Linked DNA regions of Neurospora crassa OR74A. The protein of the gene in region 1 purifies or fractionates together with the protein of each later gene. This does not show direct contact. Links are inferred from orthologs where the notes say so. Each region holds a gene or a part of one and is shown in the gene's direction. Other genes may lie near its edges. The genes, in order: NCU01235, NCU07832, NCU00210, NCU00505, NCU06622 and NCU02685.

Evidence for each region.
Region 2: the proteins of NCU01235 (region 1) and NCU07832 purify together in Saccharomyces cerevisiae (affinity purification with mass spectrometry; 3 studies listed by BioGRID). This does not show direct contact. The link is inferred for Neurospora crassa OR74A from reciprocal best matches to the Saccharomyces cerevisiae genes PRP9 and PRP8.
Region 3: the proteins of NCU01235 (region 1) and NCU00210 purify together in Saccharomyces cerevisiae (affinity purification with mass spectrometry; 4 studies listed by BioGRID). This does not show direct contact. The link is inferred for Neurospora crassa OR74A from reciprocal best matches to the Saccharomyces cerevisiae genes PRP9 and CBC2.
Region 4: the proteins of NCU01235 (region 1) and NCU00505 purify together in Saccharomyces cerevisiae (affinity purification with mass spectrometry; 4 studies listed by BioGRID). This does not show direct contact. The link is inferred for Neurospora crassa OR74A from reciprocal best matches to the Saccharomyces cerevisiae genes PRP9 and SMD1.
Region 5: the proteins of NCU01235 (region 1) and NCU06622 purify together in Saccharomyces cerevisiae (affinity purification with mass spectrometry; 6 studies listed by BioGRID, with this or other methods). This does not show direct contact. The link is inferred for Neurospora crassa OR74A from reciprocal best matches to the Saccharomyces cerevisiae genes PRP9 and LEA1.
Region 6: the proteins of NCU01235 (region 1) and NCU02685 purify together in Saccharomyces cerevisiae (affinity purification with mass spectrometry; 3 studies listed by BioGRID). This does not show direct contact. The link is inferred for Neurospora crassa OR74A from reciprocal best matches to the Saccharomyces cerevisiae genes PRP9 and BRR2.

The regions. Positions count from the first base shown.
Region 1 is NC_026505.1:3,308,892-3,312,835, forward strand, and holds NCU01235 (splicing factor 3a subunit 3), read left to right. Parts: upstream 1-1,442; 5' UTR 1,443-1,587; coding exon 1,588-1,677; intron 1,678-1,734; coding exon 1,735-3,150; 3' UTR 3,151-3,425; downstream 3,426-3,944. Other genes in the region: NCU01234 (eukaryotic initiation factor 4A-12), read right to left, coding at 1-824, 906-1,008; NCU01236 (GIY-YIG catalytic domain-containing protein), read left to right, coding at 3,754-3,944. UniProt on the Saccharomyces cerevisiae protein: mRNA splicing factors, PRP9, PRP11, and PRP21, are necessary for binding of the U2 snRNP to the pre-mRNA in an early step of spliceosome assembly.
Region 2 is NC_026503.1:1,009,990-1,013,023, forward strand, and holds part of NCU07832 (pre-mRNA processing splicing factor 8), read left to right. Parts: coding exon 1-2,265; intron 2,266-2,342; coding exon 2,343-3,034. UniProt on the Saccharomyces cerevisiae protein: Functions as a scaffold that mediates the ordered assembly of spliceosomal proteins and snRNAs. Required for association of BRR2 with the spliceosomal U5 snRNP, and the subsequent assembly of the U4/U6-U5 tri-snRNP complex.
Region 3 is NC_026503.1:3,018,520-3,022,200, forward strand, and holds NCU00210 (nuclear cap binding protein subunit 2), read left to right. Parts: upstream 1-1,509; 5' UTR 1,510-1,700; coding exon 1,701-1,769; intron 1,770-1,867; coding exon 1,868-1,989; intron 1,990-2,077; coding exon 2,078-2,471; 3' UTR 2,472-2,952; downstream 2,953-3,681. Other genes in the region: NCU00209 (hypothetical protein), read right to left, coding at 1-166; NCU00211 (mitochondrial ribosomal protein subunit L31), read right to left, coding at 3,014-3,066, 3,137-3,366, 3,439-3,488.
Region 4 is NC_026501.1:8,193,153-8,196,505, forward strand, and holds NCU00505 (small nuclear ribonucleoprotein Sm D1), read left to right. Parts: upstream 1-1,354; 5' UTR 1,355-1,481; coding exon 1,482-1,495; intron 1,496-1,613; exon of another isoform or gene 1,614-1,714; coding exon 1,715-1,882; intron 1,883-1,960; coding exon 1,961-2,150; 3' UTR 2,151-2,700; downstream 2,701-3,353. Other genes in the region: pkr1 (ER membrane protein), read left to right, coding at 291-794; NCU00504 (hypothetical protein), read right to left, coding at 2,809-3,353. UniProt on the Saccharomyces cerevisiae protein: lays a role in pre-mRNA splicing as a core component of the spliceosomal U1, U2, U4 and U5 small nuclear ribonucleoproteins (snRNPs), the building blocks of the spliceosome. Also binds telomerase RNA and is required for its accumulation.
Region 5 is NC_026504.1:1,833,200-1,837,159, forward strand, and holds NCU06622 (U2 small nuclear ribonucleoprotein A'), read left to right. Parts: upstream 1-1,563; 5' UTR 1,564-1,862; coding exon 1,863-1,941; intron 1,942-2,059; coding exon 2,060-2,100; intron 2,101-2,211; coding exon 2,212-2,472; intron 2,473-2,589; coding exon 2,590-2,724; intron 2,725-2,780; coding exon 2,781-3,023; 3' UTR 3,024-3,417; downstream 3,418-3,960. Other genes in the region: NCU06621 (hypothetical protein), read left to right, coding at 1-871; NCU06623 (hypothetical protein), read right to left, coding at 3,418-3,960. UniProt on the Saccharomyces cerevisiae protein: Involved in pre-mRNA splicing. Associates to U2 snRNA in a MSL1 dependent manner and is required for normal accumulation of U2 snRNA. Required for the spliceosome assembly and the efficient addition of U2 snRNP onto the pre-mRNA.
Region 6 is NC_026501.1:3,198,325-3,202,852, reverse strand, and holds the start of NCU02685 (pre-mRNA splicing helicase), read left to right. Parts: upstream 1-1,554; 5' UTR 1,555-1,668; coding exon 1,669-4,528. Other genes in the region: NCU02686 (hypothetical protein), read right to left, coding at 1-77, 129-388, 503-701.

The DNA.
Region 1 (3,944 bases):
CTGCATAATGCTGTCTCTCTCCTTTTGGGGCATATCGCCGTGCATGCTGCTGACAGTGAAGTTGGCTTCGCGCATCTTATCGGTCAACCAGTCGACCTTCCGGCGGGTGTTGCAGAAAATAACGGCTTGTGTAATAGTCAGAGTGTCGTAGAGATCGCAAAGAGTGTCGAACTTCCAGTCCTCCTTCTCCACAGCAATAAAATACTGCTTCAAACCCTCGAGGGTCAACTCGTCACGCTTGACCAAGATACGAACAGGGTCGGTCATGAACTTGGTGGTCATGTCGAGCACATCATAAGGGAGGGTGGCAGAGACGACGACGACTTGTGTGGCAGGCGGAAGATAGCGGTACACATCGTAGATCTGCTCGCGGAAACCCTGGTTGAGGAGCTCATCGGCTTCATCGAGAACCAGCATCTTGATGTGTCTGGTGCGGAGATGACGGCGGCGAATCATGTCGGCAACACGACCAGGAGTGCCAGAGACAATGTGTTGACCATAGTCGAGCTTGCGAATATCCTCGCCAACGTTGGTGCCACCAATGCAAGCATGGCATTGGACGTTCATGTAATCTCCCAAAGCCATCACAACGCTCTGAATCTGGGTCGCAAGTTCGCGGGTCGGGGAAAGGACGAGGGCCTGGGTCTCGCGCACGGCGGTGTCGATGACCTGAAGCATAGAGATCGAGAAAGTGGCTGTTTTACCGGTACCGGACTGGGCCTGGGCGATGGTATCGCGACCCTTGCAGATCTGAACGATGGCGCGGGACTGGACAGCAGAGGGGGACTCATATCCGTAGGCGTAGATGCCGCGAAGGAGACTCTCTGTTTTGAGAACCAGTTAGTTTCAATCCAATTCACTAAGCCACAGCAACCATGAAATACATGCGATGCGACAAGACTTACCCTTCAAGGACATCGACTCGAAAGTCGGATGAACCGTTACCTCCTTGGAGGTGGAGAACTGAATCTTTTCATCGGCCTTGCGATCGATTCCGCCGTCAGCCATGGTGGGCGATTCTGTCGATGGATCGGGTATGTTTCTGAGGTGTGTCAGGGCCGAGGACGCGATGTTGTGGGTGCGGATGTTGACGATGCGGTTCGACCGGAGTGTTGACTTCGTTATTGGAAATTATTTGCACCCGAGACAAAAACAGTCCACTGTACCGAAAGCGCGACAGTGATTGACGATGGATGCGATGTCGACGTGTGGCGTGCACTGGAGTGGAGCTTTCCCGTTGTCAAAAAAAGTTGCCAAGATGACAAGCCTTCAGGTCGGCAGAATGTCGGCCAACCTTATTTAATGGAACGACGGGGGATCTGTGACAGGGCAGTTGGTGGATTTCGCTAAGGACTTGCCGGGGAGTTCTTTGCCTGCCGCGACGTGTTTCTCTGCTGTTCTTTCTGGACTTCGTACACGGAAGCAACTGGTGGCGCCGAAAAAGCACGTTTCAACAACCTCTCTTCTAGAAATCATCCTAGTTTTCCAATTCGCAATTCTGCACCCCGACACGACAAGTCCGGCTCTTCTACGCGCATTTTCACTTCTTCTTGAATAGGGGAATTCGCGGGTGTCACATTGGTCAACATGTTGATAGAAGAGCAGAGATACATTCACGAGGATCTCGAACGCCTCGAGCAGGGTATCGCGGACCGTTTGCGCGACGAGCCAAAACAGGCATGTTTCCTCCACGCGAAGTATCTCTCAAGACCTTCTGTGCTGACACATTCTTAGATTCATGAACGTCTTAATCGTGACCATGAGATATCCCAACTCCTCGATCAGATTCAACACCAGTCCCGTGAGCTTCTTCCCCTATACGAGGACAAGACTGGAGTGCGCTCCAAGGAAATCCAGCAGATTGGCAGTGGTGACCCCTTCGAGGAATTCTACAAACAAGTAGCCACTATCAAGGAACACCACTCGCGGTACCCAAATGAGCAAGCCGAGAACTCGGAAAACTGGTACCGGCCGCGGAAGCATGGCGACGATCAGCCATTTTTGGTGGAAAGCATGTTCTCGGGCGAAGAGGCATACGGCCGTTTCTTCGATTTGCACGCCAGCCACGAATCCTACCTCAACCTTCCCAATGTGAAGCGACTCCCGTATATGCAGTATCTTGAAGTTTTTGACAACTTCCAACCCGGTTATGGTGGAGTCAAGCGGGCCGACAAGTTGACCGATCAATATTTCAAGTACCTCGGCGAGTTGATGGAGTATCTGGAATCCTTCATTCGACGTACGCGACCACTCGAAAATCTCGAAAAGGTGTTTGGTGGCTGGGACAAGGAATTCGATTCGGCTTGGGAAAAGGACGAAATTGAAGGCTGGCGCAAGGAGAAACTGGCGGCCAACGGCTCTGCGACAGACCGCACTCTGAGCAGCGCTGACGCGGTTTGGTGCGAGGCATGCGAGAAGGAGTTCAAGAACGAAAACGTTTACAAGAACCATCTTACCGGCAGGAAGCACATCAAGGCCGCTGAGGTGTTGGCGGCGATTCACGGAGAGTCGGCCAACGGTACATCAAACGGCACGGTTGCCCCGCTAGCGCATCGCCTCAAGGAACGGGCGGTCGCTGAGAGGGAGTACCGCATCAAGAAGCTCGCCAGCGCTATGAAGACGGAGCGGGACGACACAAGAGTGAACGTTGAACGTAGGCAAGGCATGACGGAGCGTGAGCGGCAACAAGAGTTGGAGAATCTCTACAACACCACGTTCAGAAGGCAGGCTAAGGAGGCTGAGGAAGACGAGGATGATGGCGGAGATGATAAGATTTACAATCCGCTCAAGCTACCGCTGGCTTGGGACGGAAAGCCGATTCCCTTCTGGCTCTACAGGTTGCATGGTCTGGGTCAAGAGTTTCCCTGCGAGATCTGTGGCAACTTTGTCTACCGCGGCCGGCGTGCTTTTGACAAGCACTTCAACGAAACAAATCACATCACCAACCTGAAGCGTCTGGGTATCACAAACACACATCTGTTCCGAGACATCACGTCTATAGAGGAGGCGGTGAGGCTTTGGAACAAGATCCAAGGTGACTCGAGAAAGACCAACGTGGATGAGGGCTCGATCGTGCAGATGGAGGACGCTGAGGGTAATGTCATGCCTGAGAAGGTATATCTTGATCTGCAGAAGCAGGGTCTGCTTTGAGAGGTTTTAAGAGGATGGATGAGCAAGGTCAAAACACCCCTCTGAGACATTAACATAATACCCCAAAGTCCTCCCCGTCCAAAACAGAACTATGAATTCGGACTACTACATAAACCAATACATAGACAGCAAGATTGTTCGACATTTCATCCTGTAGACTCAACAGAGCAGCCAAGGGCTTAGAAAGCTTGGGCCCACCAAAGTGGGGTATGGCGAAGTCAAGGGCGTGAAATAATTGGGCAGCCATTCCGGGTACTGCGGCCATGAATAAACAACATCTTGTAAACAAAGACGGCAACTTCCACTTCTTCACTGTCACCAATTTTCATCACGTATAAACTTGGTTACCCTTTGCCTTTTGCACCTCGAAAATACCACAATCGCCCAATGGGTGCAATCAACGAATGTTCGGTACTTCTTGGCGACTGTCCTGACTGACGCGACACTCGGTTCACATCTAATTCATTATCAAGCACATCGTCCACCGGGAAATTCCCAAAAGAAACAAGGTCTTGACTGCAAATGACAACAAGCCAAACGTCACGACAACCTCACCTATAGAAAACATTTCCAATTCCCTCCCAATAGGGGAAAACAGAAACGATGTCTACCACCACCACCCAAATCCAACCCAAACCCATCCCCGCCCTCTACACAGTCTACATCCTCCGCTCCCAGCCCCGACACGCTTCCCTCTACATCGGCTCCACGCCTCACCCACCCCGGCGCCTCTCACAACACAACGGGCTCGCCAAGGGTGGCGCCTATCGCACTTCGAAAATATCTCTTCGGCC
Region 2 (3,034 bases), on another chromosome or scaffold:
CCGTTGCTAAGAAGAACGTTGGCCGCCTAACGCGTCTGTGGCTCAAGGCCGAGCAAGAACGCCAGCACAACCACATGAAGGATGGTCCCTACGTCTCTTCTGAGGAGGCTGTTGCCATTTACACTACTACGGTGCACTGGCTTGAATCGAGAAAATTCTCTCCCATCCCCTTCCCCAGTGTGTCTTACAAGCATGACACCAAGATCCTTATCTTGGCGCTGGAGCGCCTACGTGAGGCTTACTCGACCAAGGGAAGATTGAACCAGAGTCAGCGTGAGGAGTTGGCCTTGATTGAGCAGGCATATGACAGTCCAGGCACTACCCTCGAGCGTATCAAACGCTTCCTACTCACTCAAAGAGCTTTCAAGGAAGTCGGCATCGATATGAACGACAACTACAGCACCATCAACCCGGTCTATGATATTGAACCGATCGAGAAGATTAGCGATGCTTATCTCGACCAGTACTTGTGGTATCAAGCTGACCAGCGCCATCTGTTCCCCGCTTGGATTAAGCCTTCCGATTCGGAGGTGCCACCTTTGCTTGTGTACAAGTGGGCTCAAGGCATTAACAACCTCGACAGGGTTTGGGAGACCGCGAATGGCGAGTGCAATGTCATGATCGAGACGCAGCTCTCCAAGGTCTACGAGAAGATTGAGCTGACCTTGCTCAACTCGCTTCTTCGGTTGATAATGGACCACAACCTTGCGGACTACATCACGGCCAAGAATAACGTTACCCTAACTTACAAGGACATGAACCATGTCAACAGCTATGGTATGATTCGTGGCCTGCAGTTCTCAGCCTTCGTTTTCCAGTACTATGGTCTCATTCTCGATTTGCTGTTGCTTGGCCCGCAGCGTGCCAGCGAGATTGCCGGTCCTCCCCACGCACCCAATGACTTCCTTCAGTTCAAGGACCGGGAGACTGAAACAAGACACCCGATTAGGTTGTACACCAGGTACATCGACAAGATCTGGGTGTTCTTGAGGTTCACCGCGGATGAATCTCGCGACCTGATCCAGCGATTCTTGACAGAGCAGCCTGATCCCAACTTCGAGAACGTGATTGGTTACAAGAGCAAGAAGTGCTGGCCCAGAGATTCGCGTATGCGTCTCATGAGGCACGACGTCAACCTCGGCAGAGCTGTGTTCTGGGATCTCAAGAACCGCCTCCCAAGATCCGTGACGACGATTGAATGGGAAGACACCTTCGCCAGCGTGTACAGCAGGGATAACCCGAACCTCCTGTTCTCCATGTGCGGCTTCGAAGTGCGCATCTTGCCCAAGATCCGCAACCAGAACGATGAGTTCCCTGTGAAAGACAGTGTCTGGTCACTAGTGGACAACACGACCAAGGAACGCACCGCTCACGCTTTCCTACAAGTTACCGAAGAGGACATTCAGAAATTCAATAACAGGATCCGTCAGATTCTCATGTCGTCTGGCTCGACCACATTCACCAAGATTGCTAACAAGTGGAACACGGCGCTGATTGCCCTCTTTACTTACTACCGCGAGGCTGCTGTTTCGACCGTGAACCTGCTTGACACGATTGTCAAGTGTGAAACCAAAATCCAGACTCGTGTCAAAATTGGTCTCAACTCCAAGATGCCTTCCCGTTTCCCTCCTGCCGTTTTCTACACTCCCAAGGAGCTTGGTGGCTTGGGTATGATTTCCGGATCACACATCCTTATCCCTACTAGCGACAAGCGCTGGTCTAAACAGACAGATCTCGGAGTTACTCATTACCGTGCGGGCATGTCGCACGATGAGGAAACGCTGATCCCCAACATCTTCCGCTACATCATCCCGTGGGAAGCTGAGTTTATCGACTCCCAGCGTGTGTGGACGGAATACTCGCAGAAGCGTCTCGAGGCCAACCAGCAGAACCGCAGATTGACCCTAGAGGATCTGGAGGACAGCTGGGATCGCGGTCTGCCCCGTATAAACACTCTTTTTCAAAAGGACCGTAGCACGTTAAGCTTCGACAAGGGTTTCCGTGCCCGTTCCGAGTTCAAGATCTATCAGTTGATGAAGAGCAATCCCTTCTGGTGGACAAGCCAGAGGCATGACGGTAAACTTTGGAACCTTAACGCATACCGTACCGATGTCATCCAGGCGCTTGGTGGTGTCGAAACCATCTTGGAGCATACCTTGTTCAAGGCAACTGGTTTCCCGTCTTGGGAAGGTCTCTTCTGGGAGAAGGCCAGTGGTTTCGAGGAGTCGATGAAGTTCAAGAAGTTGACAAATGCCCAGAGGAGCGGTAAGTTCAACATACCATTTCTCTAGCATGAATTCATCATCATATGCACGCACAAATACTGACTTTGAAATACGCAGGTCTCAACCAGATTCCTAATCGTCGTTTCACGCTTTGGTGGTCGCCTACCATCAACAGAGCCAATGTCTACGTCGGTTTCCAAGTGCAGTTGGATCTAACTGGTATCTTCTTGCACGGCAAGATTCCTACTCTCAAGATCTCCCTGATCCAGATCTTCCGAGCTCATCTGTGGCAGAAGATCCACGAGTCAGTGGTCATGGATCTTTGCCAGGTCTTCGATCAGGAGCTTGAGGCTCTAAGCATCGAATCGGTTCAAAAGGAAACCATTCATCCCAGAAAATCTTACAAGATGAACAGCTCCTGCGCGGATATCCAGCTCTTTGCCAGCCACAAATGGAACGTTACTCGCCCATCGCTCCTTTTCGATACCAAGGATGTCATCGAGTCTACTACGACGAACAAGTTTTGGATTGATGTTCAGCTTCGCTATGGTGACTACGACTCTCACGATATTGAGAGATACGTCAGGGCCAAGTATCTGGACTACACCACCGACAGCATGAGTCTTTACCCATCTCCTACCGGTCTCATGATTGGCATCGATCTGGCTTACAACTTGTACTCTGCCTACGGTCAATACTTCCCAGGCTTGAAGCTCTTGATCCAGCAGGCTATGGGCAAGATCATGAAGGCAAACCCTGCGCTCTACGTTCTTCGTGAGCGTATCCGCAAGGGTCTGCAGCTCTACGCC
Region 3 (3,681 bases), on another chromosome or scaffold:
CCTCGTTTCCTCGGTGTGCGATGGTGCGATTGGGTCCCTGACTGGCGTTCCTGGAGGAAGCTATCGAAGCGGGGAGCCGGTTGGTTTCCTCGGCCTGCTCAAAGAGCTTATGGCCGGGGTTTGGCTCCTGGAGCCAGGGCGCCGAGAAGCTCCGGATTTTGGGCATCCCGACTGTGCTTGGTGGTTTTGTGCTAAGAGCTGTCTGTTGTCGCTATACTATCCAACTCGAGCCTGATGAATCCTACAGATGACGGTGGTTCGTGTGGCGCAATGAAAACCGAAGTTGGTGTCTGGCTAGGCAGAAATAGTAGCTTGTGTTGAGGTCCTGCTATGTCCTAGCATGCACGGGCCGGTTTTTGTCGTCGTGCTGCACTTCGCTTTCTCTGCTGAAGTAATGTATGTAGGTGGGGAGGTAATTGGCTATGTAGGTAGGCAGGCGCACTATGGTCGAGGTACGTATGTATTTGATGTACCGGTACTATTAATGTGATGGCGGTTCTCGGTTTTTGAAGATGAAAAAAAAAAAAAAAAAAGGTGATCAAGAGCAAGTAGAACAGAAGCCAAGGGAGGGAAGACAAGGAGAGAGATTGGGATCCCTTTTTGAAGTGGCAGGCCCCTCGATCGATCCCATGGGAGAAAAAGCCAGGAAAGCGAAGTTTGCTAGTGGTCTCGGTTGGCTGGTCAGGATGGTAACAACAAGGTTTGACTAGCGTGTAGTGCTACGGACCTGATGGATGCCCGTGGATGGACGAGTGCTGGATGCCACTATTGTCCAGTCCGAGCCAGTGCTGTAAATGAGGCGTCCAGGGCGTCACTAGAGGCGTCCGCTTCCGTGCCTATGCCGTATATTTTCCGTTGCTTGCCTTGATCGATCGTGTTAGCTTCATTTTAGCGCGTTTCCACTCCTTCCACAGCCCTTTAGTCCGTTTCAACTGTCCGCCGGTGTTCAGTCCAGACCGTGCTCGCCGCCTCGTCTCACACCATCGGTCATTGATCAACAGGAGACAGGCAGGCCGCCCGGGATGAGAGGGGATGGAATGGCCGAATGGAGGTCTTAACGGAGACCTAGCTGTATACATACTATAAATGGTAAGCCCGAGGTAGGTACAGTTGTGCTGTGACGCGCCTGTAAATTGGGTGCCAGATTGCGGTCCAATCGGCTGGCAATGGTTGTTGGATCAACGACAAAGCGCCTCCACCAAGTCCTCCTGCCCTTGCTTCCATCGCTCTGCCCTTGCCTGCCGTCGTCATATTTGCGGGCACCTCGTAAGATAGGGTACCTGACCCACCACCAACGGCTTCCGTCGCCCGTTACAGTGCCAAGACTACCTGGATTGCCATGCAGTGATGTCCGATGCACTGTGACACTGTGCGCCAACAGGACTAAGTGTAACTGACCTGAGCTGAACTGAACTGTGAACGAAGCCTGCAGTGCTGCTGTCGCGGTACACGGGCACACCAGTCGCGCTCAGAAAGTAGCTGCGCCTGTACTTCCACTTTAGCGGGCAACCTAAGTTACCTCTTAGGTAGGTCCAATTCCATTGGCAAGGGAAACCACTGCATCATCCCCATCGACGTCTCAGAACTCCAAACCATTGAACTTCCACTTGGGCTGACAGCTTTTGATTTTCCTTCTTCTTCGCAGTTGCAGGGCACCTTTCACCCAAGAGCAGATAATCCATCTTCACTACCAGGTAACCATGTTGAACACTCGCCAAAGGAGCACCGTAGAGCGCCTTGACAGGCCAAGTGCATACTTTTTCAACAAGGTGAGTGCTCCTGACGGCATTTCCATGCCCAAACATTGCCAATCTCTCCTGTCCATAATTAGCACCCCGTCGACCGCTGACCCATCCACTCAACACAGAATAGGCGCAACAGACGTCACGACCGGGACCACCGCGATGGAGAAAACGAAGACAGTAACATGCATCCCGAAGCGTTCGATGACCCGTTGAAGGATGCGACCACGCTCTACGTCGGCAATCTGCAAGTTTGCCCCACGCTGCCAGTCCTTAATTAAAAAAATCAAAAAAAAATCAAAAGAAACAAGAACTAACCGAATGTACCTCGGCAGTTCCTTCTACACTACCGAAGAACAGGTTTACGAACTCTTTAGCAAATGCGGCGAGATCAAGCGCTTGGTCATGGGCCTCGATCGCTTACAAAAGACACCGTGCGGTTTCTGCTTCGTCGAATACTACACCCATCAGGACGCTCTCGATTGCATGAAGTACATTGGCGGCACCAAGTTGGACGAGCGCATCATCCGAACCGATCTCGACCCAGGCTTCGAGGAAGGGCGACAGTACGGCCGTGGAAAGTCGGGCGGCCAAGTTCGTGATGAGTACCGTGAGGACTACGACGAGGGCCGCGGTGGTCTTGGCCGGCAAATCCAGGCCGAGAGAATGAGGGAGCATGACCACAAGCGCTACGACGATAACGACGAACAATACGGCCGCTTGCGCTAGAGTTGTCATTGCATGGGAGTTACGTGGGACAATGAGGGAGTGCATCATGATCCAGTGCACAGATATTCAACCAGTCGTCATGACAAATCGACACAAAATATGCAAGCCGGCTCTGAAATTACGAATTTTGTTCATTCAGGGCAAGTGGAGGCGGAACAGAGAAGCGTAAAAGACAAATACCCCCTTGGAAGACATGATATTCGTTGTTGTATTGGTATCTTGCTATGGTATTTCGGGAAATTATTGATTTCCCATCCATTCGGTATGGCTCCACACATTCTTCTGTGATGCTCGCCTGGCCGTGTTTGCGCTGCTCTCTGCAGTGGTATCTCAACATGGAGCGAGCAGGAGTGTCCATGATGGACAGGACCTCCAAGTCAGTCAGTCTCTTTGCGAGACGAGACAGGAGGCCTCCTCTTCTTTGCCCCAAGCAAACGGTCCTGTTAGCGGTATCTCCAATGTCACCCATGCCATTTCGCTGCGTAATGTTACAAGTGATATACATGCTTGCACGATATCGTCCATCGTCCGGGTCGAAGGTCTTAGTAACCGGGAGGGTTGACTCTCTGGGACACACGGGTCCACTTGGGAAGCTCTGGAAAAGGAATGCCGTATTAGCCTTGGTCTTTGACTGCTGTGAAGTGATGCACAAGGGTGGCCCGTACTGTGGATGCCCTTGCGGTACCTCTTCTCCTTGCGGTCGAAGATGGTGTACTTGTCCTTGGGCAGCATCTCGGCCTCGGTGGGCATCTCAGCCCTCCAGCGTTCCACCGCCTTGACGGTCTCACCCTTCTTGGCAAGAGCGTTCTCAATGGTGGCGACGACGTTGTCAACGGCCCTCAGTCTGCGGCGCTGCCTGAGCTTCTGGAACTTGGACATGCGCCATGGGATCTTCCTGTTTGCCGCGACATGATTAGCATTTCCGGTAGAACCTTTGGCGCAACTGCAACATAGGGTAGTCGCTTACCAAAGAAGACCCCCGGAGAGGGGGTTGGTGAATCTGAAAGCCCCAAACATTGTGGTGGTGGTGGTGGATGTTTGGGGGGGGAGAGCTGCAACCGGTTCGCTTCGTCAGGATGGGTCCCGAAGGTATCGCGGGAATCGGCGCGGGCGGGCGGTCGTCGTCCAAAGTCCAAACAGTCCCGTCCAAAAAAAATCGCGGGTCCGTTCGCCAACCCCAACCCCGAAAGAACACCAGCTCGAGAGCGGA
Region 4 (3,353 bases), on another chromosome or scaffold:
CTCTTCGGCCCTACGGGCTTTGTCTGGTTGGGCTGCACATCCTCATCCGTCCCCTGCCTTCTGTCCCTCGTCATTTATAAAGGTTGTGAGGCCGTGACTAACCCTCTCTTCGACTGTAGTCATCCACTACGAACCATTGACTTTACTGCGAGTTTGTCTCTTCGTTTGTCCGCATCGCTTCCACGGCGCATCGTCCTGAACACGAATCGACAACAAGAATTTTCCTCTACACGACATACCTTCACGGTCAAACTTTTCAACGCCGACATAGCGCCAGCCTAATCTTCCCAATGACATCCTTCGTTACAAATCTCTGGGAGTCGATCTTCACTCCGGGGCCGACTCCCACCCTCCTTATCGCGACAAATGTCACATTTGCCGCTCTGCAAATTGTCCTGGCGTGCCTCCTCTTTGCGACATGGAGTATCCACTTCGTAATTCTCTCGGCTCTCTGCGGTGGACTCTGGGGATCCATCAACTGGTTCGCGGCGGAACTGAAGGTGCACCAAATCCAAGAAGAGGAAAAGGCGAGAAGAGCCAAAGAAGCAGCGCCAACTCCAGTCACATCGGAAGACAGCGAAACAGAAGTAGAGGCAGCTACATCGACAGCTAGCCTCACGAGGCAGGAGTCAATTGCAGAGGCGGTCAGCCATGAGGTTGAGCCTATCCAGCAGATTGGAGAACTGAAGCACAGAGTGGTTGAGGAGACACCGAGCCTGGGCACTAAGAGCGGCGTCAGCACGGAAGATGAGTGGGAGAAGGTTTCGGAGAACGAGAACGAAAAGGACAAGTGAATATCCTGGCGATTGAGCGGGGACCGACCACACGCAGAACGTACAAGCGAATGTCGTGTTAGCGAAGTTACCATGGCATCCTGTAAATAGTGTCATGGTCCGCTTTCGTGTTGGAGTTGAGCGACGATGGCATTTACACATCCACCCTGTTTTCGTTCTTCATTGGATGAAAGGAGAGGCAGTTGAAGGCTGTAAGCCCTATGTTCGTTTCATAGTCCTTATCCTGCCATGAGGCATCATGATCTGTGCAACTACAGCTATAGCTTCAGAGACAAAGTCATAGTAAACAACACCTTGTTGTTCGGCGTGGCAGTTAGCCAGCCCATCTTCGTGTACCCCAATTATCTGGTTGCTTCAACTCAGCACATGAACAGATCATGTGCAGGGCAGGCAATTTATGGATAGCTTGAAACCCATGACTTCCAGGGTTAGGGGCTTTCAAGCCGCCGTTTGCCTGTTCAGCTCGGCTCACGTGATTGAGCACGGGCTCTATCTTGGCGCGTAGCGACGGCAGGCTATCTGCTCCACCCTGACGCTTGGATGGTTGTGCAAGCGTCCAAGGAAGCTCGACAAGCCTTCTCCCGTCGCGACTGTTGATTGACAAAGTAACAAGCTGGTAATCGAGACCTTGTCACCACCAATTCCATACAACACATATTCGATTACGCGTTGTCCAAATAAGTCAAGATGAAGCTGGTCAGGTAAGATTTCTCCTTGCTTTCTGATACTTCGCTACATGTACCCGATACCCCATCCCACCCGACTTCATTCCTATTCTCTTGCACGACGCATGCTGAGCTTTGAGTCCTCGCCTTCAAGGCTGCCAGCCCGTGTTCGCGCGCGTCCATGCTGCTCTACTAGAAAAAGAACACCAAGGGCACCAGGCTGACGAAGTGGAATCCGTTACTTCAACACTGCAGATTTTTGATGAAATGCGCCAACGAGACGGTGACGATTGAGTTGAAGAACGGCACAATTGTACACGGCACTATCGCCTCGGTCACACCCCGCATGGACACTGCGCTTCGCAACGTCAAGATGACCCCCAAGGGCCAGGACGCTGTGGCTCTAGATGCCATGAACATTAGGTAAATCAACCCTTTCAACTAAGGGGGAGTGGCCCTTTTCAGTTTTCGAGGGCATCACTAACTATTGAAACCCTACAGGGGCTCGACCATCCGTTACTTCATACTCCCCGATTCTTTGCCGCTCGATACATTGCTAGTTGATGATTCCGTGAAGCCCAAGAACAAGGCGAGAAAGGAAGCGGACCGCAGCGCCGGCGGCAGAGGTGGCCGTGGTGGCCGTGGCAGAGGAAGGGGAATGGGTCGCGGCCGCGGTCGTGGCCGTGGCTAAGCGGATCTCGTTTCTTTGGGATCGGCCACGGCGTACGTCTCCCTGGACGACAGAAACGTGCGAATTAGATTTTTTTTCAAAGACGATACGATGCTATACTACGGTTAATGGTGGATTTTTTTCGGTTTTTTATGCCCCCTTCGGTCGACCGGCTTGACCGTCTTGGTAGGGAAGATCAAGGCCGGCCCGAAATAACGTCCGGTGGCGACGACACGACAAAATCGACGATGAGTGCGCTTCAGAAAATCGAGGAGCATATCCCAGATCTTCACTTGAGCGACACTCGAGATTCACCTCATTCGCATCGAGTGTTACACACATAAACACCACTCCCCCTCATCGGATCGGAGCAGAGGGCAAGCATTGGGATTTCGTTGCGGCGTTCTGGACAGGATAAAATCACTTTGCTAGCGGGAAGGGAGAGAGAGAAAGGCGCGCCCAACCGCCACCGGAATGAACTATTTTATGTATCACAAAACAGATAGACGGCGATATATGCCTACTGGAGAAGGCGGCACAATCAGCAACTCTCTATACCAAATTTCCCCCAGAATTTTCGAGCCTTGTACGTGACTGACCATCGTCCTTCCCCCTCTTCCACCCTCTTCAACAGCTTCCTCCCCATCCTCAACTCATCACCAGCATCTCATCCCTCCATTCACCTCCAAACCCTCACAATCTGCAACTTCTCCCAACCCGCCTGCCTCCCACTAGTCCCCACCGTCTCTGCCTTCCACTTCCCTTCACCACCCATCACCCTGATCCTCCCTTTGACCTCCTCCGGCTTATTCTGCGCACAAAGCAGAATATACGCCACCCCCCTCTCGCTCAACACCCCCGGCAAGGCCTCAATCAGTCTATCCGTCGTCTCCATCCCATCCCTCCCTCCAGCATACGTCAACTCCAAGAGATGTGAGTCTTCCTCAAACGTCGTTTTCTCCTTCAGTGCCTGCAACCCTGTCGGTGGCGGCGCAGGCAAGTCAGGCGTAGGGACGTAGGGCGGGTTGAAGACTAGGACATCTACCGATCCGGGACGAAAGGGGGAGACGAGGTCACCTTGGGTTGCTGATGTCCAAAAACCGGAGGTGGAAGTATTTTCGGAAACGGCCTTGGAGACGGTAAGGTTGGTGGCGGCACAGGCGAAGGGGGACACGTCGATGGCGGTTGACAGGACATGCGGGCTGCCAAAGATGGTGGAGGCGT
Region 5 (3,960 bases), on another chromosome or scaffold:
GGATCCTGATATAACCTTGGTCTCAAAAAGTAGCGACCGACTAAGTACGGTCAAGCGGGGAAGGGGACGCCCATCAAAAAAGTCTACATCTTCCCATGCGTCAAGGGAAGTGGCAGAGCAGCAGCGAACTTCAGCTGGGATCCCGCTTCCGGAGGCCCAAGCCCCGGTCGAGACCCAGGTCGAGCTTGAAACCGAGCGCCGCTTATCAGCTTCAACTCCGAAAGAGGCGAGCGTTGAAGCGGCAGCAGAAGAACCGGTTCCGGAACATTCGCCCCGGGCCTCCCCTCTTAGAGCGGCCGTCACTCGAGCTGCGCCGACACCAGCCAAACTAAACAAGTCTCTTCCTCCGCCGCCATCTGAGTCCCCAGATCACCTGTCTCAGCCGCTTGCTACACCTCAGGCACCTACAGTCGCGAGTGTACCTCAAGAACAGCCAAGCGTCTACCGCTCGCCTTCAATGCAATCCTCGAATGCAGAGAACCGACCCCCATCGCCGAAGCAAATGACCCCAATAGTCGAACGTCATGCTCTAGCACCAATGGCTACCACACCGGACAGGCCCACTTCTCCTTCCAAACGGACGATTCTGGGTGCCCTTCAAAGCACTAAGCCTTGGACCGCGGCAGATCTAGACAATATATTCTCGCCCAACAAGAACGACTACGATAAGGAAGACGGCATTGACAAACTCTTGCACAAGGGCAGTGAGCTCACGAGCCCGGAAAAGCGGATGACCGTGGAGGAGTGGATCTATCATAATGCCAACTTGGCTGAGCAGAGATTGAAGAGGGAATGCGAGGAGATGGTCCTGCTGTTTGAGAAGCAGGGTGCCAGAGCGATGGAAGCTTTGGAGGGGCTTATCGTCGAGTAGTGAGTGAGTGGCACGACCCTTGGGCACCAAATTATCAGCATAAAAGGACGAGAGGTGTGGATTCGCATACTAAATCCCGCTTCTGGTTCAAGGTCGGGCAAATTCTGTGTGTGTGTGATACCAGGTAATGGACATGGAACTTGCGTGATGCGTTACATAGCAAGCTTATTGTGTCAGTGACTTTGGCTTCTGGTTTGAGTAGCATGGAAGGCGTCATTCGACGTCCGGTTAGACGATGTAGGGATAGCATTGTTGGTGACGTTACAATGGAATTGCACAATAGTGTGCATCATAACGAAACAAGCCCTAAAGTTACAGCTGCAGGTTCTTTAGATGATGCCGGGTTGGGGATCTGGACTAAAGAGCGAGTGTGATGAAAGTGGTTTTGGTTTTTCCATAGCGGGCGGTTAGTGGTTGTGAAAGCGTTTACACCAAGAAGTAGAACGAAAACTTGACAGCAACCTGGCGAGATAGCGAGTAAGAAACATTTTAGGCCAACAAGAGGGCAGAAAATGAACATATAATATCTGACTCTAGTACCCTAGTCTTTCAGACACAAACCGTGTCGACTCTGTTTAGGAGCTCCGTGTGGTTGCGACTTGCAAGTAATCCGACGCGCAAGGGTTAGGGTTACTACATCGTCCGTTTTTTTTTTGCGGCGCTGTCCATGACTTCATTGGGGCAGGCAGCCTTGTCAATCTACTTTGGTAACTTCACTACAGCCACCAATTACGAACCACGCGACGCGCTTCAACCTTTTGCTTCTTTAGTTGACTTCCATCAATTTCAATCTCGAAGGCGAACACAGGACATACGGCAATTCTCCTGGCTGTAATCAATAATTAATCACCTGTTTGCAAAGCCCCTTTGCGCCGCCGTATTACAAAAGCACCACCAGCAACAACCATCACAAGGTACCGACCGGCATCGCAGTAGTAGTAGCAGCGACAGCTCGACAGCTCCCCGTCGTCGTTGCACTCCCGTCGTCACAATGAGGCTGACGGCAGACCTTATCAACAACTCCCTTTCCTATCTCAATCCGCTTAAGGAGCGAGAGATAGACCTCCGAGGTGCGTTCCATCGAGAAGAGCAGATACTGCACGGTTGATCTTCAAGTTTCCAAAAGCGCGTACAAAGAACAGAGTTGATATATCGAAAACCTATGTTGGGTTGGGATACATGCAATAGGACACAGAATACCTGCTATTGAGAACTTGGGCGTTGCTGGGGTAAGTTTCTCCCTTCTCCTGGTTCTTCCTCTACTGCTAGTCCTGCTACTGGTAGCCCGTTTCAACCAAATTACCAATTAATGCAGTTTGCTAATCCGGTCGCTACTACAGCCCCACGATGCCATTGATTTCACCGACAACGATATCCAAGTGCTGGGCAACTTCCCGCTCTCTCCCCGCATACGCACCCTCCTGCTCGCCCGCAACAGGATCGCCCAGATCCAGTCGACCCTACCGAATGCGACCCCGAACCTGAAGAACCTCGTCCTGGCGTCCAATAATATTGGCGAGCTGGCGGATTTGGAGGTGTTGGGAAGGTTTCCAAGGCTTACGCACTTGGTCTTGACGGACAACCCCGTTACCAAGAAGGAGGTACGTCACACAACGCCCTTTCGTCGCCCAGTGTTATGCGGCTGAGAGAGAATCGGAGACGGGGGTGGCAAATGGAATGAATGTACGGAATGGCTGACAATGTTTGTCGACACACAGAACTACCGCTACTGGGTCCTCTGGCTGTGCCCTCAGGTTCGCTTTCTCGATTACGTCAAGGTCAAGGACGCCGAGAGGCAGAAGGCGAAGGAGCTGTTTGGAACCGCTGATGAGCCGACGGAGTTGGCCAAGACGGTATGTACCTTGTCTTCTTTTTCAATGTCATGACAACCCTGCTAACATGCAAACAGATAAAGGGAATCAAGAGCAAGACCTTTGACGTTGGCGCCAGCTCCGCCAACGGTGCGGCCGGCAGTGGTCCTTCCTCGAAACTTTCGCGTCTCAAGCTCACAGAGAAAGAGAAGAAGAAGTTGCAGGATCTGATCAAGAAGGCCGACAGCTTGGAGGAAATCATCAGATTGGAGAAGGCGCTCAACGAGGGACGGCTGCCACCTGGCATTATCGCCGAGGATGACGATGCCATGGAGGAGTAAGGAGGAACCAAGGTGACGGGCACCTGACGAACGTGGTAGATCAGGTTGCTATATGTTCGTGATATGATGGCTTGCAGAGGTGACGAAAAGGGGGAGGACGGCACTTCAAAGAGCTTACCATTTGTCGGCGTTCGGTTCTAGATGGGGCTTACTGCAAAATAACTGTATACCAAATTGCGCAAATTTGCTGGGTTGAAACAGAGATAGTGAAACATGATAGTGGTGTCATGATTTCACCGCAGCAATCGGAGCGGCCTTGAGGAAAGGGACGTTAGGACGAGCATATCAAGGGCCCATGGTCTTTGATTCGGCAACTCTACACCTCTTAACGTCTTGTACTCGCCCGGATATTCAACACGTCTATTCGGCTCTGTATGTATGGACAGTCACTCAACTAACCCGTCATATCCACATCCCCATCATGACCCCGATACTGCTGTGACGCCGCCTGCCTCATCTCCATCTGCAACTGCGCGCTGGGATCCTCGTCCGACGTAGTAGCTGGCGGTGATGCCGACAAGATACCCCTATTCATGCCGCTCATCACACCAGGAGTAGAACTAAATGGTCGTCCCGAAGCCGACGACATGCCCACCACACCCGTCGTGACACCCATATTGGTAATACCGGTATTAACCCCGCCAGCACCGAGTCCATTCACCGGCGCCGCCAGCCCTCCAATGCTTCCACTAGCACCGCTTCCTGTACCAGCAGGCAACCCCCCATTCATAGACATCAAGATGGACGTTTGCTGCAACCCGCCGGACCCCTTTTGCTTCTTGGCATTCGGCAGCATCGCCATCCTATCCCGCTCATCTCCATGATCACCCACTTGTCCCTGCTCCAAAGATAGCATAACCCCCTCGGGAGCTGCCAGTCCTCCCATAACCGGTCCAGGCGCCAAAACGACCGCGGCGGCGGTCCCCGCAGGAGGAAC
Region 6 (4,528 bases), on another chromosome or scaffold:
AGCTTTGCTTCTGGGTTGATTTCATCCGGCTGCACGGTGAAGGGGTGGGATTTCGCGTTCTCGAGGAGGGTCTCTTCCTGTTTAAGTGACAGTTTCGTTTGGAAGGTACGGTGTTCGAGTGTCTTTACAAGGTCCTCGAGCCGGACACTGCTAGATGCGGTGATGTTCTCCGACGTTTCCTCGAGCGCTAGAGAGTTGATAATCTCGGTTGGAACCTCAGGTAGCGGTCTGCAAACTCTGAAAAGTTTCTGGTGGTCTAGGAAATCCGGTGATGCCGCCGGCTTCTGCCTCAAGAGGTCAAGGTTTTTCTTGACCACTAACAGTTTCTCTTGCTTCTTTTGTATTTTGAGGTTGGTAAGATGGTTGAGAAGGTAGTTAGACTGTATTTCTGTTGGTTGAGGGACAGAAACCTCATGATGACTGCGCTTTTGTGAGAGTGTGTGGTATTCTTTGCGGGCTTTGATGTTCGCGCGCAATGCTTCGAGGAATTCCCTATACAGACCTCTAGTATCTTGTGAGTAGGAGGGTACTTCACTTGACTCGGTGAGAGACAACGGTTCTGTCAGCGTTGCTCCGTCTTTCAAGCCCGAACTGAGGTGAAGTGTCAAGATCCGTCTGATATGGGCGGCTTCCTCGCGAGGCCTGGTGTATGGTTGCAGCACCTTCTGAACAGCTTCTAGCGTTTCTCGAAAGGAATCCATCGTGTAGATAATTCCAACTTGACCTGTCTATCAGTATTGGCTTCTTTTCATATCAAGGCATAAAACAGCTTATTGGTCAAATTGTGAATGACTGTGATCATCGATGAGCTCAGCCCGATGTGAGCAGGACGGACATAAGAGAGCGTGGTATGAACCAGAGGTATCTCAGTTTCCAGCATTCAAATGATTGTTCAAATAGCTCGTGAAGTAATACGATTCGTCCCTCTTGGTGGTATGAAAAAGAGGTATCGTAGAAGTCGGAGCCCATGGATCAGACTTCTGCCACCTATCTCGAGTTGCTCGATGGGTTGAGATCGTGTTGATGATTGTGCCTACCACCTTTAGGATGTTTGTTAGTGCACCTTGACCAACCTCTACACACCCCACGGGGTCTCCGCCTATGCACTAACACCGCCCTGACAGCAAGGTCAAGCTCCAGCTGTTCAGTGTGTTTACGTGCTGTCCAGGCAGCCAATGAGAGTCGACGACGGCAGCATTGCATAAAAATTTCCAGCCGTCATGACTGGAGCCACACCTATCTCTGCACCGCTTGCCACCCCTACCAAGCCAAGTAAGTTCCTGCTGGCTGGCAAGAACCACGCCTCTGGCTCAACCTTTCCAAACTGAACGCCAAACTCCAACCTTCCTTTCGCGACAACCGCGACAGACTTCTGTCGGAAACCCATCATCTCTGTTTCCGCCCGACCCCAGATTCTTGATCTACCCATCGATGCGACCGGCGAAATACTACTTATCAGCCAGCAAAACCAACGCTTGGTTCGGGCCGGGCTCGGGCTAATTTATCGCCACTGCGTGCACGCAAGAACAAGCACATTTTATCCCCAAAGGCCGAGTTGAAGATATCACCAGATCGAGACTCTTCCATCCGCTACGACCTCTACTTCGATCTTGACGTATACCTCAAAACATTTCATAGATTTCTTTTTTTCTTCTCCGAGCTGGCAAGATGACGGACCACCACCGCGATGTGTCGCAATATAAATACTCGGCCATGTCCAACCTGGTTCTCCAGGCGGACCGTCGTTTCGTCACGAGGCGTACCGATGAGGCCACGGGAGACCCCGAGTCCCTAGCCGGGCGTCTGTCCATCAAAGATATGGGCTCCAGAGTCGCTCGCGACTCAGCACCAAAGCCCAAGAAGGCGGGCGCCATGCCCGACGTCGAGCGGGGCAGTCTAAGGGAAGGTGCTGATATCCTGCAACGAGAGAAGAAGAAGGGCAAACTCGAGTCCGCTACAAGAGGTGGAGGTATTCTTACTGGCGCCGACGCGCTTATCGAAGGTCTCCGCTACCGCCCTCGAACGCAGCCGACGCGCGATGCCTTCAACCTTATCCTCACCATTGTCGCCGAACACTTGGGCGACGTGCCCCATGAGGTCGTTCGCAGTGCTGCTGACGCGGTTCTCGAATATCTCAAGGATGACGACCTGAAGGATTTTGACAAGAAGAAGGAGGTTGATGATATTCTTGGAGTCTCGATGGGGCCCAAGCAGTTCAACGAGCTCATAAATCTCGGCAAAAAGATCACGGATTACGACGCTCAAGATGAAGACGAGGATGCGGGCGATGCTAGGCAAGAAGGCGACGACGAGATTGACGGTCGCCAGGGTGTTGCGGTCAACTTCGAGAACGATGAAGATGATGATGGCATGGTTGATGTTGTTCGGGACGAATCTTCCGATGAGGAGGATTTTGCGGAGGATGAAGAGCTGCCTGACAGCAACGAGGTGGTCGATGGTGAAGGAGGTCAGGAGGAGGTGGTCGAAGATATTCTGAACGGCGAGGCCATGGTCATCGATTCAGCACCGGAAGGGAAGAAAAGCGGGTCTGACGACAATTCCATACCCGCCAGAGATATCGATGCGTTCTGGTTACAACGCCAGATTGGCCGGCTATATCCCGACGCACATATCCAGCATGATAAGACAATGTCTGCGCTCAAGACTCTTTCCGGCGAGCCCGATGAGCCAGGTGGTGAAGAAAAGCAGCTCCGCGACATCGAAAACGACTTGATGGAGCTTTTTGATTACGAACACCACGAGCTTGTGCAAAAACTCATTGCTAACCGGGAGAAGGTCGTATGGCTTACTCGGCTGGCCAGAGCTGAGAATGAGGAGGAGAGAAATACGATCAAGCGGGAGATGGCTTCTGAGGGTCTGCGTTGGATTCTGGACGAGCTGGAAGGCAAGACCGACGGCGGCCAGAAGAAGATCAAGATGGACATCAAGATGGACATTGACTCGGGGGCCTTTGCTGATAAGGAAGGCCAAAAGCCTGAGCGTCCCGAGGGACAGCTAGTCGGAGGTCTGCAGCCACGCAAGTTAATAAACCTGGAGAACCTCATATTCGATCAGGGTAACCACCTTATGACCAATCCCAAAGTACGACTTCCCGAGGGCTCGACAAAGCGCACCTTCAAGGGCTATGAAGAAATCCATGTGCCCCCACCAAAGAAGCGCAACGACCCCAGCGACGCCCATGTCCCGATTTCTGAAATGCCTGAGTGGGCTCAGATACCTTTCAGCACGGCCAAATCGTTAAACAAGATTCAGTCAAAGTGCTATCCTACTGCCTTTGGTGATGATGGAAACATGCTTGTCTGTGCTCCGACGGGCTCTGGCAAGACCAACGTGGCGATGCTCACCATCCTTCGTGAGATCGGGAAGCATAGAAACGAAGCCGGCGAGATCGACCTGGACGCCTTCAAGATCGTCTATATCGCGCCCTTGAAAGCCCTTGTTCAAGAACAGGTCGGCAACTTCGGAAAGCGTCTCGAACCATTCGGTATCAGGGTGGCCGAACTCACTGGCGATCGGCAACTTACTAAGCAACAGATCTCGGAAACGCAGATTATCGTTACGACCCCCGAAAAATGGGATGTCATCACGAGAAAGGCTACTGATCTCTCCTACACCAACCTGGTCCGCCTGATTATTATTGACGAGATCCATCTCCTTCACGATGACCGTGGTCCTGTGCTTGAAAGCATTGTCGCCAGAACCATCCGCAAGACAGAGCAGACCGGTGAGCCTGTTCGCATTGTGGGCTTGTCTGCCACTCTGCCCAACTACCGCGACGTAGCGAGCTTCCTGCGTGTGGATACGAACACCGGGCTCTTCCACTTCGATGGTACCTTCCGCCCTTGCCCCCTCCGTCAAGAGTTTATCGGCGTCACGGACAGAAAGGCCATCAAGCAGTTAAAGACCATGAATGATATCACCTACCAAAAGGTCTTGGAGCACGTAGGACAGAATCGCAATCAGATGCTCATCTTTGTCCATTCCAGAAAGGAAACGGCAAAGACCGCCAGGTACATCAGGGACAAGGCTTTGGAAATGGACACCATCAACCAGATCTTGAAGCACGACGCCGGAACCCGTGAAGTCCTGAGCGAAGCCTCCAACTCTGTCAACAACACCGATCTGAAGGATATCTTGCCCTATGGCTTCGGTATCCATCATGCTGGTATGAGTCGTGCTGATCGTACCGACGTCGAAGATTTGTTTGCCAGTGGCCATATCCAGGTTCTTGTGTGCACAGCCACTCTTGCTTGGGGTGTCAACCTTCCAGCCCATACCGTCATCATCAAGGGCACGCAAGTGTACTCGCCTGAAAAAGGTAGCTGGGTTGAGCTCAGTCCTCAGGATGTGCTGCAGATGCTTGGTCGTGCCGGTCGTCCTCAGTTCGACACCTATGGTGAAGGTATCATCATCACCACCCAGGGAGAGATGCAGTACTACCTTTCGCTCCTTAACCAGCAGTTACCCATTGAAAGTCAATTTGCTAGCAAGTTGGTTGATAACCTCA